Linked DNA regions of Xenopus tropicalis. The protein of the gene in region 2 purifies or fractionates together with the protein of the main gene of each other region. This does not show direct contact. Links are inferred from orthologs where the notes say so. Each region holds a gene or a part of one and is shown on either strand. Other genes may lie near its edges. The genes, in order: ubxn4 and ube4a.

Region 1 (3,922 bases), on a different chromosome or scaffold from region 2:
GGTGGGCAGGGTAGGGCCCATCCAATGCATTGCGACTGTTTTTTTTGCATAGGAGTATTCTGTAGCGTATCTGGGCGCTATTTTGGGCAATTATACTGTCTAGGACCCCTAGCAAGCAGGTTTCAGGAGCAGTCACAGTAGGGAAGGCTAAGTTATTTGATGAGTATTTAGTGACTGCATATGGGGATATGAAAGTTAGCAGGGCTAGCTGCACATCTCGGGCAGTGATCTGTTGGGGTACGGCCCATCTGGCGCAACCTTAATGGTGTGATATGGACAGTCCCTCTTTTGACAGCTCAGCTCCCAGTCCCGGATTCTTACTGAATTGTCCCTCATTTCCCTCATCTCCTGCACTGAAGCAGGACCCCAAACCCCCCAGAAATGTGTTCAGACCTTAAATAACCTGCCAAATTTAGTCAAATGGGAGTGGTATTTAGGGGGCGTGGTAAAATTTTGCCGTGCGTTATTTATTTTTGTCCCTCTTTCCATTTTCAAGGGAGGAATGTGTCCGGCACCATTGCCTCAGCCCATGCTCTGGTCAGTCCGGACACTTTCTTGGCCTGAGCCTGAGGGCAGTGCTGTGGAAAACATTGGGGTCACCACCTTTGCCAGTGCTAAACCTGAACAAAGGGGGCGGGGCAGCAAAGCTATAGGGGTGGGGCAGCAAAGCTAGGGGCGGGGTTATGATGCCAGAGTGCAGTTACTGCAGCGCTTACAATTGGCTGGAATTCCAGTCAGTTTGATTGGCAGCCCTAGTTCTGTCTTTATTCTGCCTGATGGGTAACTGTATGGGCTCTGTTATACCAGTTTTCCAGAAAGCTCAGAAATTTGCTCTTTATTTCTGTAACAATAAGAAATGAATTGAACTTGATAACTAAACAGGTGGCAAGCCCAGCAAGCTGCTGATTGGGTGGGAGGGAAGGGCAAAATAAATGGTATTACCCCAGAGAATGGCCTACATTAACTATACAGCAAAACTGAATAAAACATGACGCAATGATGGTAATTATAGGCGCAATTAGTGTATGAGGTAACTGCATATGCGTATGACATCATTACGGGCAGAGCGTATGGCGGCTTGGTTGTTTCCATGACAACAAACTCCATCAGCGCTGCGCTCAGTATTCACTTCCGCCCCACGTGGGCGTGGCTTATTGTTTGCGTGCGGCGTGAGAGCGGACGGCGTTACGTCACATCCTGTTTTCCGGCTTCGTCACCGTCTGTGTGTGTGCAGTGAGGGCAGTGAGGGCAGTGACAGGAGGCGGGCAGCGGAGTCGGACGATGCTGTGGTTCCAGGGCTCCATCCCGGAGGCTATAGCGGCCGCCAAGCAGCGCAACTCCGTGTTTGTGGTGTTCGTGGCTGGTGAGGAGAATGGATTCCCCGCCTCTCAGTGTATCGGGCAACTTGTCATAGGGGCAACTGGGCCTGAGGCACGGCCAACTGTCTGGCATCATAGGGGCATAATATGGGCATCATAGGGGCATAATATGGGCATCATAGGGGCACAAGGGCTGCCAGTATCGGGGGGGGGGCAATGATTGTTATAGTTGTCAGTTTAGCTAACTGCCTGTCAGAGGGGAGCCCATGTACTGGTACTAACTGCCTGTCAGAGGGGAGCCCATGTACTGCTACTAACTGCCTGTCAGAGGGGAGCCCATGTACTGCTACTAACTGCCTGTCAGAGGGGAGCCCATGTACTGCTACTAACTGCCTGTCAGAGGGGAGCCCATGTACTGCTACTAACTGCCTGTCAGAGGGGAGCCCATGTACTGCTACTAACTGCCTGCCAGAGGGGAGCCCATGTACTGGTACTAACTGCCTGTCAGAGGGGAGCCCATGTACTGGTACTAACTGCCTGCCAGAGGGGAGCCCATGTACTGGTACTAACTGCCTGCCAGAGGGGAGCCCATGTACTGGTACTAACTGCCTGCCAGAGGGGAGCCCATGTACTGGTACTAACTGCCTGTCAGAGGGGAGCCCATGTACTGGTACTAACTGCCTGTCAGAGGGGAGCCCATGTACTGGTACTAACTGCCTGTCAGAGGGGAGCCCATGTACTGGTACTAACTGCCTGTCAGAGGGGAGCCCATGTACTGGTACTAACTGCCTGCCAGAGGGGAGCCCATGTACTGGTACTAACTGCCTGCCAGAGGGGAGCCCATGTACTGGTACTAACTGCCTGTCAGAGGGGAGCCCATGTACTGGTACTAACTGCCTGTTAGAGGGGAGCCCATGTACTGCTACTAACTGCCTGTCAGAGGGGAGCCCATGTACTGGTACATCTGGCATCATGGAGATAGCCCAGGGACTGGCACAGCTAACTGTCAGTATAGTGGGAACCCGGGGACTGTTATAACCAATGTCCTGCCAGAGTGGAGCCCAAGGACTCGCTGCCGAATGTCAGTATGTGGGTAACCCAGGCAACATATTGGGGCATTAGAACTGTTCTCTGTAGCCCAGAGGCTGCTGTAGGCCACAAATACTAAGCTGTCAGCTTTATGATGGGCCATTATTATTGTCAGTGTTCATGGGGTTGCCTAGTAACTGTCAGCTTGTTGGTATGTATGTATATTTCATGTATATAATGCTACGTATGTGTGAATTCATAAACAAACAGGTTCATTACAATAATAGGTACAAAGGAATAAATACAAATAAATATAAAGTACAGTTGTATTAATGATTCCACCGAGGACGGGAGGATGGAGGTCCCTGGCCTGTAGAGCTTACAGTCTAAATAACTTACAGACACAAATAGGTGACACTGCAGTATAAGTGCCAGTTCCTAGTTCAGGTCTATGCGAGAGCCCCAAGGGGGGGTCTGTGAGTTCTGCAGAGACAGGGGGGATACCCTCGGCAGAAATTTGGGGAGAATGTACGAGCAGCCTGACAGTTACGGGTGACAGAAAGGGACAGATTTTGGCAATTTTGCATAAGAAAAAGTTACAGGTTTTGACAGTGGGGTTTATATGGTGAGAGAAGGAGAGATCCCCCCCCAAACCACGTGCCGAGTAGATAGGGTTAATGAGCGTGTCATCAATAGTAATGGGGGGGGCAGTAGGACCAGTAGATAGGGTTAATGAGCGTGTCATCAATAGTAATGGGGGGGGCAGTAGGACCAGTAGATAGGGTTAATGAGCGTGTCATCAATAGTAATGGGGGGCAGTAGGACCAGTAGATAGGGTTAATGAGCGTGTCATCAATAGTAATGGGGGGCAGTAGGACCAGGCTTGGGTGGGTAGATGCTCAGTTTTTTGTAAAGGGGAACCCTGTTATTTCCAGGCAAGTAGCTGTCGGCTTATAAAAAGGAGTAATTTTTCGATTGGGGGGAAACAGGTAACTGTCAGGCATCTGCCTTTACTAACTGTCAGCCTGTGTTTGTTGGCTGGTAGCGGGGGTGGGATTGGGGTTGCACAGTTTCTGTCACTGGCATCCTGTGTGTGAATGGAGATGGATCCTGGGGGCTTCTCTGGGCAACTCTGTGCCTGCCTGCCAAAGGGGCCCCAGGTCGCTGCCGCTAATAATGCTGTTATTGGATGGTATTACTGCGTGTATAGGGGACCCATCCAATAGAGGGGCAGCACTTTAGCCATTTAGTAATGAGGAACGGGGTGACAGTTAGAGTGACAGACAGAGCATCTCTGAAGGGCTCGCAGGCAGTTATTTATTGGCTTCAGTCTGAGAGTGCAAAGTGCAGTCACTGCGAGTTCCTGGCCCTACAGTACAGTCTCTTTATGAGATGTCCCTTGGATGCAATAATAAAATCCATTATTGCTCTATCCCAGTAATTATAGCCCGTCTCTCTGTTAGACTGCCTGGCACAGTTGGCACAGTTGGGCCAGCGGCACCATTGGCATCCTCTCTGCCGTTGTTGCTACGTAGTTTGAAAATAACATCCTAGTGAGCCTTGGGCCTCCATCT
Region 2 (3,922 bases):
AACAACGAGCTGCAAAACTACTGGCAAGATCATTTGCAATGCATTAGGACATAATCTAGTTCTTACCTCTTTCTTGGCTCTACGAAAACAGGAAAATAAGAATGGGATTATTTGTTTCTCTCCAGCATCTCTCTCTGCAGATAAATTGGGGGCTCCAGAGGATGTCATACAGATTAGATACTTTCCTGGCTCTGGGAGAAGTAGTCGTGTAAACAGAGCCTACAGGAAACATAAAATAGGATCAAAATATACTGTGTTTATACTATGCTGTGTGGCCTCATCCATTAGCGCTCTTGTTAATACCTGTTCAACATTATCCATGTCAAGCCAGTCCTGCCCATCCAGCTCTGATCCAAGCTCTTCCAAATACACACAACGTAAAGGAATTCCATTCCCACTCTTCAGACTGGGATCACCTACAAGACAAAGCAATGCATATTATATACAAACAGGTAAGGAAATAGTGGAGTCACTTACAAATATCTAAAAAACACTTTATTAACCAGCACTGTCAGCAATGATACAATTATCAATATGAGCCTTGCCTCCTTTAAAAAGTTATCTGGTAGTGCAAATTTGCTGGAAGGAGAAGGCCAGCCTTAAAAAAATCCATGTAGTACTGTAGTAAAAAGTAGTAATGCATACTAGAAAGAATGTATCCATAATCGCAAATAAGCCATGCAAGCTTAACTTAAGTCAGGGGTCGGGAACCTTTTTGGCTGAGAGAGCCACAAACAACACATATTTTAAAATGTAATTCTTTGAGAGCCATACATGTTTGGCCGTGGATGCTGCAGGGCAAGGTAGGGTGGGTCCCAAGGATGCTTAGAACACGTCTTCTATCCGCCGAGTGCAGGGGCAAGGTAGGGTGGGTGGCAAGGATGCGATGCGGACGAGGGCGTGGCCTGCGCTCGGTGGATAGAAGACGCGTTCTAAGGCTTAGAACACATCTATCTGCCAAGCGCAGGCCACGCCCCCCATTATTTTTTTTATTAAAGATTTTATTAAAGCCATAGGTTCCCTACCCCTGACTTAAGTGATCATCCATTTATTTGGATGTAGTGTATAGAAAACAACATATGTGGGTAAACTGTAAAGTTTGCCAGTGCTAAATTAGCCTAATGGCAGACAGGACATTCTGACCACTGATGTGCTCAGACGTGTTACTGTTCTATCACAGATTAGAGTTTTTTATTTCTCCTTTATGTCTCCTTTCAATGTCACACAGAAAGGCTGAGCAAACTTGTACCTGCTGAGGAAGGTCACTGAACATAAACAAAACACTGAACCATAATTTTTTTTTTTCTTGAAATAAAGCCTGTAGCATGCAGTGCTACACACACACATATTTACACAGCTTATATTAGTTACAATTTTACTTTGTCCCCAGGGGTAAATCATATGGCAAATAGATGTGGTATATTTCTCATATAGGACTTTACACATCTCACTATTAAGAGATTAGGTATATTTTAGACTTTTACTTTATATCTTTCTGTGCTATTTTAACTGACAAAGGGAGTCAATAGCTCACACCGATTTTGTGTTGTTCAAACTAAATCCAAACAGATAGACTAAGACCCCTCTAAATAAATCTGCTTAAGCTTGCATAGTATTGGAAGTCATAAAACTCCTTGGTTGGAGCTCTGCCATGCTTACCGCTCCTGGCTCAGGGCCTTATTTGTTCTACACAAGACAACAAAGTATAATAACTTAATAAAATCCAAAATGAAGTAAAAAAACAAACAAAAAAAAACCTAATACCCTGGCTGGCCACCACCTCTGGGACCATACACTGACAATGTTTATTAAGTAAGTAATATATAAATAGAATTGTTTCATATATAATATTTAATAAACGCATAAAATCTAATTGAATAATGTATTGTTTGATTAAGCATTACTATGCCTATATTAAATGTATGAAATATTTTCCAGTTAATGTAACTTTCTGCTTATTGTTTGGAATTAAGCTGATGAAACCAATAATTTTTATACACATATTTTGGATAACTTCCAACTATTTTCCACTAGACCTTGCAATATAACAGATTCTTCTGCTAGTGTAATACATTCCAACACTCTATATGATTATCTGATATTGTGGATCAGTTTATCTCCATCATTATCTCATTATGAAACATCTCAGGTAGGGTGCAAAAAAAATGCTGTTTCACATGCAGTTTAACAAATTCTTTGGAAAATAAAATTATCGCAGCTTATCCATCTGCCTAAAACATCTTGTAGGAATTAGTAACTTACTGTTGTCCAAGGTAATGAGGAAGATCCTTTGGATCATGTGATTAATGTTTAGCTGCTCACAGATTTCCTGCTGGGACCGAAAAGATCGACTGATTTCTGCCACAGAGTCATCACAATCATCCAGGCTTTCTGACACGCTGTTGTCTGACTCATCTTGGCTCTCTTCAGCATCATCCTCTGGAATATAAAGGTTGGTTAACTAGTGTTTTAGGAAAATGCTCTGATCTGACTCAACATAAAGCAAGCCAGAGTAATAGAGAAGAGCCAAACACCAATTTAGTGGTGCTGTCGATGGTGCTGTCATTGAAAGATTTACTTGAACTAAATAAAAAGAGGACATATCAAGCAAACGTTTCCCACTTACCAGTCTGCCTGAGTTGCTCTTTCTGACCAGCCACAAATTGGCGAGCCTCAGCCAAAGACCCAAACAGGGCAGCAAAAGGATTGGCTGAAAAGCTGTTGTTGTTTTCTTGGTCCGTCATTGTAAGGTCGCGCCAATCTGACGTCAGCGCACCAGTGCGGCGCGTAGCCAGGCGTCATCGCACCGCATCGACACAGCGTTGGAGCGTCATACGTCACGAATCGGCGCGGCGCCCAATTAAAAACGAAAGCGTCTATAGTTCGATAGGTTAGACCCAGATTGTGGCCTTTTCTTTGCAATGTTCGGAGATGTTCATTAACAGCTAATAATTATGTTTCTTTGCCTTTAAATGAATTGTATTGATGTTCTTTAAAGAAATAACCCAGAGAGCAGACGAAGTAACTTATGACTTTTATTGCAGCAGTTTGAGCACGACATGTTTTGGCTTAACTAGCTTTCCTCAGGTATTAATGTGCTGTCTATGAATACGCATATGCTGGTAGTATATACTGTATATATCAGCATGCCAGTATTATTTTATTGGAGGACAGACATACTGTAGTTTATGTGGCAATTTGGGACTCCCCCTGCACTCCTTGCTGCCCCTGCTCTGCACTGTCAATGCTTGGTATAAAAGTTACGTAAACTACGTAAGATTAAGGGCCCAATGATTTTACTGAGGGGCCCAACCAATAGTCGGTAGTAAAAATAATTGATGTGCTGATAAGTCAGTCTTTTCATAGTGGGTCGGTGGAGTTTACGTAAATGTAGGGGTTTACCAAAAATGGGCCCTTAGGACAGGAACCCCTAGGTAACAGGGACACTGGGATGACTGGAGTTCGGGTTATGGCCACAGGGTGGTGCATAGGCCCATATAAGGGGTTGCAGCCATGTGCTGTGAGGCAGACATTTTGGGGACTGCTCCAGGCAGGAGTACCCCAGGCACAGTTAAGATAGTAGTTCATGTAAGAGATCATTCTAGGAGTGATATGTAGGTCACCTAGCTAGAATGGGCAGACATTGCCCCTCCAGGAGTGGTAGTGAGGTTAAGACCTCCCGGCATTACATCTGCTGGAGTGCAGGGCCACAAGTGGCTAGGTAGGTGGACAAGGTCACCGCTAGTTCAGGAGGCTGGATCTGAGGGGGCTTAGGCAAGAGTACCGGGGTGGGCTGCCTGTGGTGAGGCTGCCTAGCGTGAGTACCGGGAAGGACCCCAAGAGGGGGTGCCTTCTGGCGTGAGTACCGGGGAGATCACCTAGAAGGGGACACTTGGCGCGAGTACCGTGAGTTGCCCAACAG

What was found.
Region 1: the proteins of ube4a (region 2) and ubxn4 purify together in Homo sapiens (affinity purification with mass spectrometry; 3 studies listed by BioGRID and IntAct, counting the BioPlex papers as one, with this or other methods). This does not show direct contact. The link is inferred for Xenopus tropicalis from reciprocal best matches to the Homo sapiens genes UBE4A and UBXN4.

The regions. Positions count from the first base shown.
Region 1 is NC_030685.2:84,078,210-84,082,131, reverse strand, and holds the start of ubxn4 (UBX domain-containing protein 4), read left to right. Parts: upstream 1-1,181; 5' UTR 1,182-1,281; coding exon 1,282-1,363; intron 1,364-3,922. UniProt on the Homo sapiens protein: Involved in endoplasmic reticulum-associated protein degradation (ERAD). Acts as a platform to recruit both UBQLN1 and VCP to the ER during ERAD.
Region 2 is NC_030683.2:81,297,599-81,301,520, forward strand, and holds the start of ube4a (ubiquitin conjugation factor E4 A), read right to left. Parts: upstream 2,825-3,922; 5' UTR 2,745-2,824; coding exon 2,627-2,744; intron 2,440-2,626; coding exon 2,263-2,439; intron 417-2,262; coding exon 304-416; intron 220-303; coding exon 67-219; intron 1-66.